Linked DNA regions of Canis lupus familiaris. The protein of the gene in region 1 interacts with the protein of each later gene in a pairwise test. Links are inferred from orthologs where the notes say so. Each region holds a gene or a part of one and is shown in the gene's direction. Other genes may lie near its edges. The genes, in order: EWSR1, PLSCR1 and MAPK1IP1L.

What was found.
Region 2: the proteins of EWSR1 (region 1) and PLSCR1 interact in binary tests that used the Homo sapiens proteins (3 or more experiments, as listed by UniProt). The two-hybrid records come from large-scale screens. The link is inferred for Canis lupus familiaris from reciprocal best matches to the Homo sapiens genes EWSR1 and PLSCR1.
Region 3: the proteins of EWSR1 (region 1) and MAPK1IP1L interact in binary tests that used the Homo sapiens proteins (3 or more experiments, as listed by UniProt). The link is inferred for Canis lupus familiaris from reciprocal best matches to the Homo sapiens genes EWSR1 and MAPK1IP1L.

The regions. Positions count from the first base shown.
Region 1 is NC_049247.1:23,014,067-23,017,281, forward strand, and holds part of EWSR1 (RNA-binding protein EWS), read left to right. Parts: intron 1-2,021; coding exon 2,022-2,151; intron 2,152-2,978; coding exon 2,979-3,101; intron 3,102-3,215. UniProt on the Homo sapiens protein: Binds to ssRNA containing the consensus sequence 5'-AGGUAA-3'. Might normally function as a transcriptional repressor. EWS-fusion-proteins (EFPS) may play a role in the tumorigenic process.
Region 2 is NC_049244.1:42,190,588-42,194,934, reverse strand, and holds the start of PLSCR1 (phospholipid scramblase 1), read left to right. Parts: upstream 1-1,440; 5' UTR 1,441-1,619; intron 1,620-1,661; exon of another isoform or gene 1,662-1,733; intron 1,734-4,347. UniProt on the Homo sapiens protein: Catalyzes calcium-induced ATP-independent rapid bidirectional and non-specific movement of phospholipids (lipid scrambling or lipid flip-flop) between the inner and outer leaflet of the plasma membrane resulting in collapse of the phospholipid asymmetry which leads to phosphatidylserine externalization on the cell surface.
Region 3 is NC_049229.1:31,204,889-31,209,312, forward strand, and holds the start of MAPK1IP1L (MAPK-interacting and spindle-stabilizing protein-like), read left to right. Parts: upstream 1-1,573; 5' UTR 1,574-1,724; intron 1,725-2,078; exon of another isoform or gene 2,079-2,288; coding exon of another isoform or gene 2,289-2,300; intron 2,301-2,606; exon of another isoform or gene 2,607-2,630; intron 2,631-2,863; exon of another isoform or gene 2,864-2,885; intron 2,886-2,901; exon of another isoform or gene 2,902-2,925; intron 2,926-4,424.

The DNA.
Region 1 (3,215 bases):
AGCGCCTGCCTTTAGCCCAGGGCGTGATCCTGGAGACCCGGGATCGAATCCCACATCGGGCTCCCGGTGCATGGAGCCTGCTTCTCCCTCTGCCTGTGTCTCTGCCTCTCTCTCTCTCTCTCTCTCTGTATGACTATCATAAATAAATAAAAATTAAAAAAAAAATAAAATAAAATAAAATAAAATAAAAAGGCAGGGGGGGATCCCTGGGTGGCTCAGCGGTTTAGCCTCTGCCTTTGGCCCAGGGCGTGAGGATCCCGGGATTGGGTCCCACATCGGGCTCCCTGTGTGGAGCCTGCTTCTCCCTCTGCCTGTGTCTCTGCCCCCCCCCCAAATCATGAATAAATAAATAAAATCTTTTTAAAATAATAATAATAAAAATTAAAAATTATACTATCAGTTTTGTAAAATAGAGATTTTAAAAATAGCCCCATCATTCATACCACCATTTTGCCATATTTTTCAGCATGTATGTTCTTTATAAAAACATAGCATTAGTATGTATGTCTTACAAATACTAGCTTTTTTTAAGATTTTATTCATGAGAGACACAGAGACAGCAGAGACACAGGGAGAGAGAGAGAAGCAGGCTCCATGCAGGGAGCCTGATGTGGGACTTGATCCTAGGTCTCCATGGGACTCGATCTCCAGACTCAGGATCACGCCCTGGGCCAAAGGCAGGCGCCCAACTGCTGAGCCACCCGGGCATCCTGACTAGCTTTCTTTTCTTTTTATATATATATATATATAAATCAATACTCTTAGGTATCACTAGGTGTTATATAACCAACATGTATAAATTAAACTTTGATCATAATGTACTTTTAATGCAGAAAACAGATGAAGCCATATTCTTGTATTATAGTGTGGCTCCTGAAATCAAGCCAGTTGTATCTGGTGTTCAGCTGAAAAGCTAATGGTGCATTCTAGCTCTGGAGGAAAAATTAGCTGTGTTGGATTTTAAGAATGCTGTTAGAAAGGATCCCTGGGGTGGCTCAGCGGTTGAGCACCTGCCTTCTGCCCAGGGCATGATCCTGGAGACCCAGGATTGAGTTCCGCGTCGGGCTCCCTGCCTGGAGCCTGCTTGTGTCTCTGCCTCTCTCTGTGTCTCTCATGAATAAATAAAATCTTAGGGCAGCCCTGGTGGCACAGCGGTTTAGCACCGCCTGCAGCCCGGGGTGTGATCCTGGAGACCCAGGATCGAGTTCCACATCAGGCTCCTTGCATGGAACCTGCTTCTCCCTCTGACTTTGTCTCTGCGCCTCTCTCTCTGTGTGTGTGTGTGTGTGTCTCTCATGAATAAATAAATAAAATCTTTTAAAAAAATAAAAATAAAATCTTAAAAAAAAAAAAAGAATGCTGTTAGCAGGGCAGCCCAGGTAGCTCAGCGTTTAGCACCGCCTTCAGCTCGGGGTGTGATCCTGGAGACCTGGGATCGAGTCCCACATCAGGCTCCCTGCATGGAGCCTGCTTCTCCCTCTGCCTGTGTGTATGCCTTTCTCTCTCTGTCTCTCATGAATAAATAAAATCTTTGGGGGAAAAAAAAAGAATGCTGCTAGTACACTCAGAACCCTATGTACTATACTTACTGACTTAAGGGTGATTTTTATTTTATGTGAGACATGGTTTGTGTGATGGCATCAAAGCTTGACTGCCTCGTAAGAGGTGGCTATTTCACTGGGTGCCCTTTAGTGTGGGTACAGAAAATGTTGAGTCAGATACAAGGACACCAGGAGATGACAGCTAGAGAAGGAATGGGAAGCATACTGTTAGCACTTACACACTTTGGAACCTGAGGCCTATTGTGGTTTTCATGACACCTACACCTAAGAGAAAAAATGACCTAAGTATGTATTTATTGTGGCACTTTAGGAAATAAATCATGCATAATTCACTACTTGGAGATAAACACATCCTACCGAATGTGTGTCTGAAAAAGTACAGCTTTTGACAATTCAAGGGACTTCTCTGAGTGTTAGTGTGTTTCTGGTCACAGTTTAACTATGCTATTTTATGCCTAGATGAACAAGAGAACCGGACAACCCATGATCCATATCTACTTGGACAAGGAAACAGGAAAGCCCAAAGGTGATGCTACAGTATCCTATGAAGACCCACCAACTGCCAAGGCTGCTGTGGAGTGGTTTGATGGTAAGAGCCCTAGAGTTGACAGGGGTACTCATTGGTGTCCTTCACTTCAGCCTGCCCTGGGACGCATGAAGGGTCTTGCTAATGGATGTAATTCTGTTAGAATATCATTTTCTGAAATGGTTTTAGGGACAAGGGACAGATGTATTTTTCCTCTGTGTCACTATAACACATTGCAGAAGGGAGGAACTTGAGAGCCATAGAAGCAGGAAGACCCACTGTCTGCATTGGAGGAGCATTGGATGGCTCCCTTCTGCCATAAGAGGGCCCAGTTTCTGGCCCTGGACTTGGAGAGCCCTCATTTTTTTAGTCATTATTACAAATCCACCTTGCTTAAAGTTGTAAATGCCTCTCTAATAAGCAAGTTATCAGAAAGTACAGATCACTCCATAAAAAAACAATATGAAACTCAAATGAGTTTAAATATATACATATTTAGCCTTGGCATTAATTCTGGAATTCCACCACAGACAAAACTGACTTGAAAATGTCAAAGGACAGTTCCTGGCTCTCATCTCTTGGCCACTTTACATACTTGCCCTACTTCTCACCTTTTTCGGGGCAAGGGTGCCAGTGCACTCAGCATTCTCCTGGCTTATTTTCTGCCTTAGGGTACAGGGGGTTTGGGAGGTATCTTTTGAAGGAGTTTTAATGAGAATGCCCTTGCCAGCGACAGTCTTAGAGAAGATTGTGGTTGGGGCACATGCTACCATTGGGGGTGGTTGACTGTAGTGGAGTTTGTGAGCAAGGAGTACTCTAGTCTTGCCTAATCCCTCAAGGAGGGAAGAGTTGGAAGTTGGGAGTAATGGTGTTCTGTTCTCTTGTTTCAGGGAAAGATTTTCAAGGAAGCAAACTTAAGGTTTCTCTTGCTCGGAAGAAACCTCCAATGAACAGCATGCGGGGTGGTATGCCTCCCCGTGAGGGCAGAGGGATGCCACCGCCACTCCGTGGAGGTATTTACCAGACACCTTCCCTAAGCTGCTTCTGTGTTGCTCTGAATATTTTTTGGTAAACTTTGAGAAACTTGAATTCTAGAGTGTAGAAAGACCCATTAGAAGTACTAAAAG
Region 2 (4,347 bases), on another chromosome or scaffold:
TTTCTGTAGTGTATATACACATAAGGATATGTGCAAGGTTGATGACTGTAGCATAATTTGTAATTATAAAACAGGAAATAAACTGCACCCAGATGATTAGATCGAGACCATTCAGTATCAGAGGCAAGGGGATTTCTAAGATGCATCCTAAAGGAGAAAAGAACATGCCCCAGATAACAGTCTGCATGAAACAATCTTCTTTATGTAAAGAAACACTACGTACATGTGTGTATATATGTGTGTATATATAATGATATTTATTCAGCGCTTACTCCTTAGCAGGCATCACTCTAAACTTCTTGCATATTTTAACTTCTTCAATCCTCATAAAAATATTATGAGACGCATACTACTACTACCCTCACTTTACAGATTAAAAAAGAGGCACAGAGATAGTAATTTGCACAAAGTCACGGAGAATGAGAAGGGATTCAGATCTAAGAGGCAGGTTTCCCCCCTCCTTTTTACTTCTTTTCTCAATTTCATTTTCTATTGCTCTCCCTTCCCACCCCCTCTTCCTTCCTCCCGCCTACTTCCTCCCTTACTCTTCAAGTATCTGTTGCTAGGGTCATGGGAAGAAAAGGAGAGGAGAGCTGCCCAAGACGCCTTTCGCTTTATTTATCCATATTCAGCTTTATTGTTTGGAAGATCCTGTATTACTTTTGTAAATAAAACACTTTAAGGAAAAAAAAGAATCAATGAATCCTTCAGTTTAAGCAATATGAGTTCGTTTGTGTGTGTGTGTGTGTGTTTTTTTCCAATATGAGTTTATTGAGCCTGTTTGCCAGTGGCGGGGGTGGGGGTAGATGGCAGAAAAATTAAACACTCTAAACACATCTAGTCAGTTTGACTCTTAAAAGTTAGCAGCCTTGGGGACCCCTGGGGGGCTCAGCGGCTTAGCATGTGCCTTCAGCCCAGGGCCTGATCCTGGGGTCCCGGGATAGGGTCCCACGTTGGGGTCCCTGCAGGGAGCTTGCTTCCCCCTCTGCCTGTGTCTCTGCCTCTCTCTCTCTCTCTCTCTCTCGAATAAATAAAATCTTTTTTAAAAAAAAGTCAATGTGTAGTTCATAATAAATAAATAAATAATAAATAAATAAATAAATAAATAAATAATAAATAACTAGCTAGCTAGCTAGCGGCCTTTGGTGGAGAATGAGGGATGGGCGGAGAGAGGGAGAGACAGACACTGAGAGAGCCAGACGGACAGCGAGCCAGGACGGAGAGAGCTAAAGAGAAGAAGCCGCATGAAGAAAAGCGAGCTCGACCCCGGGCCGTTTGCACCCGCAGCGGCGCTGCAGGCTCCGGGCGGCGGAAGCTCCCGGGAGGCCCGCGCCCCCACCCCACCCCGGCGGCCCCGCCCCCTCCGTGACTCCCGGGGCCCGGCTGCCCCCGCCTCCCGGCGCCTCGCTGCCCGGGGCCCCGGAACAGACGTCAGGGCCCGCAGGGCGCAGGGGGCGCAGCGGGGCCAGCGGCGAGCGCGCGCTCGGGGCACCTGCAGGGGCGTGGACGCCGCCACCGGGAAACGAAACCGTCAGACCTCGGCGGCGCAAGGTCGCTCCGAGGTTCCGGGGCCTCGCCCTTGGCAGCATCCGGGCAGCATCCGCACGCGGCGGCCACAGGTGGGCGGGCGGCGGGCTCCCGGCCAGGCGCGCGGGGGGGGGGGGCGGGAGGGCTGTACCTGTGCGGGGCGCGCGGGCACAGGCTGGGGGCCGGGGTCCTGGCGGCGGCCACAGGTGGGCGGGCGGCGGGCTCCCCGCCAGGTGTGCGGGGGGGAAGGGGGCGGGGGCAGGGGGCGGTACCTGTGCGGGGCGCGCGGGCACAGGCTGGGGGCCGGGGTCTTGGAGCATCCGCACGCGGCGGCCACAGGTGGGCGGGCAGCGGGCTCCCAGCCAGGCGCGGGGTGGGGGGGGCTGTACCTGTGCGGGGCGCGCGGACACAGGCTGGGGGCCGGGGTCCTGGCGGCCCGGGGAGCGACCCCCGAGCAGCGACCCGCCTGCGGCACCCCCCCCGCCGGGCCCGCCCCAGGGCTCAGGTTTGCCCGCGCCCCGTGGGTGAACACCTGTCCGCGGCGCTGAGAGTCTGAGCTGCGGCTGCCGGCAGCGTGCGGGGGGTGCGGGGGGTGCGCGGGGGGTTAGAAGGGCGATTCGCAGGCCCCTCGGAGCTGTCATTTAACAGTGAGTATTCACTACTGGGAAGGCTGCCCCCCCCCCCAAACTGTGCGAGCCACCTGGAGCTCCGCGCGCGGGGGCAGGAGGGAGGCAGGTGCTTTACCGCCCACAGGGGGACCCTAGACCCGAGGCTCCCGAGTCCGTCCACCTGCCTGGGTGCACCCCCCGCCTCTGCTACTTAATTCCTGCGGACTCCGACCCGTTTCTTCATCTCTGGACCTTGCTGGCTCCATCTCTGAAATTGCGTCAAGGTCAAAAATGAGTTCCGAGAGTTAAGAGTAGGATACTTAACTAGTGTAAAAGCTGTTGTCGGAGCTGTGTCCCGCGCTGCAGAAAGTTCTCATTAGGGTTAGCTTTTGGTATTTTTTTTTTAAGATTTTATTTATTTATTCATGAGAGAGAGACAGACAGAAGCAGGCGCCCCGAAAGGAGCCCCATGCGGGTCTCGATCCCGGATCCCGGGGTCACGCCCTGAGCCGAAGGCAGACGCTCCACGCCTGAGCCACTCAGGTGTCCCGCTTTTAGTATTTTTAATAGTAAAGTCCCTGCTTCTCCGAGATTATTATCTGGCTCCCAGGTGGTTTTATTTAGACAGAGATTCCTGGAAGTGGTAAAATAGCTACTACCCAGCTCCAGGAACAGGCAGGTATTGTTTCTCCTGGTTTAGCAATTTGAGAAACAGGATTAGTACAAGTGTCACTTCCGTAGAGGAAATTGTCAAACGATTTATGATTCCCTTTATCATCCTTGAACTTTCTTAATAGCAGAACTTTCTCTTAATACCATGCTCGCGAGCAGGACAACTGCAGGGCTTTGAACACTGAATAAACGCAAGGAATGAAAATTAAGGAAAAGGGAAAATGAGTGGATTTCTGCAGCTGGATAGAAAAGGTGCATGTAAAATAAATAAGTGGCTGAATCTGAGACGAAGCAGCCTTCACATTTGTACGGGAGCTGTTCTTTATGGGAAAGGAGGGAAATAAAACCCTACACATCTTGTTCAGTCAGCAAGCACCAGTTAAGTGCCTTGTCCTGGACAAGATAGTCCATACTCTGGCCTTTGAGAACATAGAACGCAGGTAGAGAGAAACTACGTTAAAACTGTCCTACACTTCTCTATTCTTTTGTCTGATCTCTCCCCCCCCCCCCTTTTTCTTTTTCCTGTAATCCACAAACCTTTCATTTCCTTGAATTAGTCAATCTCCCTCTAGCCACAGGACTTGTGCCAGTTGCCTCTGCAATGCTTCACTTCCCCAACCCCCATCCATGGCCTAGTTGATTTTAGACAGCCTTTGGCTCTCAGATTCAAAGTAGGTCAGGGACAAAGAGTTCTGTCATTGTCTTTATTTGCTAAAATAATTCAGAACATATATCCACATCGTGGGCCTCAGAAAAATGTTAACTGATTTGTTGTTAAACAATTAAGAAGTAAACATGGATCGATGATTCAAATATAGGTTATGCCTGGTTTATAGGCATACTAGTCTTAGGAGCTATCAAAACTAGGGATGCTTCCTTTGGGCTCCAGATTGTACATTAATATTTTTCTGAAAGCAATAAGAGAAATTTCAGGACCCCCAAGAGATGGGTCAAGGATTTCACTGTAAGATGAGTTCTGGAACCATGATTGATGTCACCTGCATTATTTCTCTTCCCTGATGGAAGAGGTTTATAATTTTCAAAGAGCCCAGAGCAGCAATGGGTCTTATGGTATCTGATGGAATAATTTTACCAGAAATATACTTATATGAATATAGTATATGATGCACTAATCTCTCATTTAACTGAATTAGGAAGAAGGGTATAGGGCAGCCCGGGTGGCTCAGCAGTTTAGTGCCTTCAGCCCAGGGCGTGATCCTGGAGACTCAGGATCGAGTCCCATGTCAGGCTCCTTGCATGGAGCCTGCGTCTCCCTCTGCCTGTGTCTCTGCCTCCCTCTCTCTCTCTCTCTCTTTCTCTCTCTCATGAATAAATAAATAAAATCTTTTTTTTAAGAAAAAGAAGGGTATAGTATTCAGATTATAATTTGAATTTATACATTTGTCCTGAAGTAATTAAGATTCCAGTGGTACAATATATATGACTTCCTTAGATTTTTTTTTTCTTTTAGTACAGGATAAATATGATGTTCTTTTCCCTGGAAGTTTTTCTAGGACTTGTTTCTTATTAAAAGTCCTGG
Region 3 (4,424 bases), on another chromosome or scaffold:
AATAAATAAATAAATAAATAAATAAATAAATAAATAAATATTTTTAAAAAATTAATTTTAAAATCAGAAGGGGACCGAGGGTGGCTCAGTCAGTTAAGCATGATCCTTAGGGCTTCCGCCCAAGGGCTCAGGTCATGATCCCCTTTCTCTGCCGCTCTCTTTCAAATAAAATCTTAAAAAATAAAATCAGGGGCACCGGCAACTCAGTGGTTGAGCATCTGCCCAGGTTGAGCATCGTCATCCTGGGGTCTGGAGTCCTGGGATCAAGTTCTACATTGGGAATCCCAGCTCAGCGGGGAGCCTGCTTCTCCCTCTGCCTTTTTCTCTGCCTGTGTCTCATGAATAAATTTTTAAAAAATCAGAATTAAAACAACAACCTAATGAAAAAAGGTCAAGATTTTATTTTTTAGGATTTTATTCATGAGAGACACAGAAAGAGGCAGAGATATAGGCAGAAGGAGAAGCAGCAGGCTCCATACAGGAACCCGATGGGGGACTCGATCCCGGAATTCCAGGATCACCGCTCAGGCCGAAGGCAGACGCTCAACTGCTGAGCCACCCAGGCGTCCCAGGTCAAGATTTTAAATATAGTTTTACTGACGTCTGCTGACTCAGGATTCCTTATAGCTCCATAAGGCATTACAGATTCACTGCCTCCTGACGGCAGGGTAAGTTGTTCACACTAATGTCATTTTCCATAGACCATTTTCCCTGTCCAAAAATAGGTCTTCCCCAGGCTTGGGTATTTGCAGTTTCTCTATTGCCTCTTTTCCAGTAGGAGAAGTGTGGGTTCTGGTGGAGCATACCCAGGAATAAGTCTTCCTTTAAGACGTTTCTAATAAAATGCCCCTGCCCAGTGACCCACTAAGGGGTTACCCAAAGAAGCAAAATGTACTGATACCGCATATTTCTAGTGTAGTTTTACATATAAAAATCTATGTACATACTGTATGTATATACATTTTGCACACTATATAATTACGGCAGATTCCTTGACAGCCGGGGGAATGTGTCAATCATCCTACAGACCTGACCCAAAGTAGGTAAAGGTTCTTTCAAAGATGAACATGTGGGGCCCCCTTCCCCGTATGGCTCCTGTAGCGCTCCCCAATTTCGGCCCGAGGGCCGGGATTCACTGGTTGGCCGCATTCACAGCCAGCCGGCATCCAAGCCCGGCTGTAAAAATCTCTAAGCGTAGGAAATCCAGAAGCAGTCCTCAAACCAGTCCAGGAAACAAGCTAGCAGTTTCCGCCGAGGTGCCCAGAACGTCACTGGCTACAGGCATTTCCTCCGAGGGCTCAGAATTCCGGAAAACCGGGGAGCGGTCCTCCCTCCCGCGGGAGGAAAACAGCCGCCCCGGGGCGAGCGGGAGGAGCAGCCGCCCGGCCCCGCCCCGCCCCGCCCCGCCCCGCCGGGCAGGCCGCAGTGCAGCGCGAAGCCTGCGGGGGGCGCCCGCGGCCGCACCCGGCCCGGGGAGGAGGGGGGAGAGCGCGCGGGGGCGGCGCGCTCGGCGCTTCCTGTTCCGGCGCCAGGAGGAGCCGCGCGCTGTTAGTGCTGCCGCTGCCGCCGCCGCCGCCTCCGCCTCCGCCGCCACCGCCGCCGCTGCTGCCGCCGCCACCGCCGCCGCCGCGCTCGTCAGTCAGTCCGCGTTCGGTTCTTCAGCACCCGATTCCCCCGGACCCATCGCCGCTTCTAGACTTTGCTGCGGGCTCGGATCTGGCCGGGTGAGGCTGCCTCGGCGCTAGTGGGTATCGTGGAGGGGGGCAGGGGAGCACGCCCAAGCGGGAGACGGGCGCGGTAACAGAGGAACCTCGAGTCGCCTCTTCAGGGGCCGGGACTAAACGTCGGCCCCCGCCATCTTCCCTCAGGCTGCGAGGTGCCCCCCGATCGCCCCCCGGGAGGAGGCGTCGGAGGCGGCTGACGTCGCGCCGGACGGGTTTCTCCGCACTTGACGTCAGGCCGGGTTTGGGGGCGGGGCGGCGAGAGGGCCCGGCCCCTCCCCCACCCTCCCCACCCCCACCCCTTTCCGGGCGGCGCGACCCGCTCGGCGGCCGGTTCGCTCCGGTTGATCCCGGACTCCCTTTGTTCGTTGGGCCCTGAAGGCTTCCCGGCTCGCGCCCCCTCGGTCCCCTCCCCCATTCATTAATTTCTAATAAAACGGGAGCGAGGGGCCTGAACAGCCTTGGAGGAATCTGGCACTTGTTTAATCAGATTGTCCGCCGTGTGACAACGTTCCGGTCGTTAGTTGCCGAAGGAGTTGCTACACAGATCCTATTCGACGAATACACATGACAGAAGCCGTGAGTTCGGCGACACTCTCTTTCTTAGGATTTGGGGGCTTGTGTTACGCATGGAAGCTTATAAATAGCTGAGCCGTTTCCTCTTCGAAAACCAAAAGCAGTGCTTTTACTGGTTAAAAATTTCTAATGTTGAGGCATCAGACCGTATTCCCCTGACGGGAAAAAAAAAAAAAAATTACTGCTGAAGAAATACACACTCTTACACACCTGATGGTTGTGAAGGCATGTTCTGTAAAGGAGCCTCCTTTTACAGGCCAAGGTAGCCTTCGGAGAGCTTTCAGAAGTTCTTTGTTCGGCTGTATTCACTGGGCAGCAACAGGAATTTTTCTGGTACTGGCGTCTCTGAACCTCCTATTTAAAACTAGTTTGTCTCAGCGACTTGAGTTGGGTTGTGTGTGTGAGAATGTTCTTTTCTTCTCTCCAGAAGGAACAGAGAGAGACCCATTCCTTAACTGCAAGGCTCGGGGCCGGTATGTTTTGGAATTCAGCAATCTTCGAATTGTGTCTTTAGATTTTAGAAAGAGTAAGATGCGTAGGCCAGAGGTGTCACCCTCACAAGGTCCCAGCAGCATCCCTGAGACTACGGTAATAATGGTGCAGGGATAGGCGTGACTTCATGGAAACTGTAAATATCCTCAGGTCACGTTTTGCCACCCAACTAAGTTTTATGCCAAATTCTGGAATTTTCCTTTTCTTTTCAGAAGTTTCCAAATCGAGAACTGCAGATAAAGGTTTGCAGGCCTGTGACCGCGATTGTAAAAGTTAACGTTTGTTGAGTTTTCCTTGAGTGCCAGAGAGAGACCAGGAGATTTATTTTGTCAGTCTGGGGGCAGGTCTGCAAGGTGGATACTACTCCTGTGTACTTAAACCTCTGGAGTTTGAAGAATTCAACCTGTCCATCACCTGCCAGTGAAGAGCTAGGGTTTTATCTACGCAGCCATAACTTTCAGGGTCATTCTTTTAATCTCTGCTGCCATGCCCATGTAGGAAGAAAGACAAGGGAATATATATCTGTTGCCCATCCACTATTTTTTAGAGCACTGTTATTATAGACACTTAATTTATGAATACCATTTAGTCTTTCGCATCACTAGCCCTTTTATAGTTGAAGAAACTGAGTCACTGGGGTGAGCTGAATCTGATTGAGACATTCAAACCTCAGTTTAAAGGCTCTCTGCTAAAACTTCTATCCCTCCCCTCTCTGTATTCCAACCAATTCGAACTGCTTATATTTCCCATAGCGTATTCTTGCCTGCTTTAGCTTTTGCACGGTCTGCTCTTTCCCGGGGCCTGTCCCATCATCCCCTACTGCCAGCTCTTCATTGTTCTCCCAGACTGCAAAGGAACCTCTTCTCAGGGTTCCTCCCCTTATTCTCCTTTCCTTGATTCCTTTAGGTGCCCTTTAGGTACTCAACTTGGTGCCCTGGGCTTACCCAAAGTAAGGTAGTTACTATTTAAAGGATAGTTCAGGGGGGTTCCTGGGTGGCTCAGCGGTTTACCACCTGCCTTTGGCTCAGGGTGTGATCCTGGAGTCCCAGAATGGAGTCCTGCATCGGGCTCCCTGCCTGGGGCCTGCTTCTCCCTCTGCCTGTGTCTCTGCCTCTCTCTCTCTCCCTGTCATGAATGAATGAATAAATAAATAAATAAATAAATAAATAAATAAACTTTAAAAAAAAAAATAAAGGGTAGTTCACCAGATTGTGAATTCCTTAAATGTCTATTCTGTGTAGTACTCTTCATTTCCCCAAAGCCTAACAAGACAGTGCCTGGTGTGTATATTCCAGGCATAAGTATAAAAAAAATGATACTTTAAAAAATTATGTCTTTTGGGACGCCTGGGTGGCTCAGCAGTTGAGCATCTGCCTTCAGCTCCAGTTGTGATCTCAGAGTCCTGGGATCAAGTCCCCACATCGGGCTCCCCGCGGGGAGCCTGCTTCTCCCTCTACTTGTGTCTGCCTCTCTCTGTGTCTCTCATGTATGAATAAATCTTTTAAAAAAATAAAAATTATGTCTTTCAAAAGCTTAAGAATATTCAAAAACTTTACTAAGTCCTCAGTTCCTTGAGTTGTCCAAATGTAAAATGGAATGTATCTGATAAGAGAGTCAATAATAAAAATGATCAAA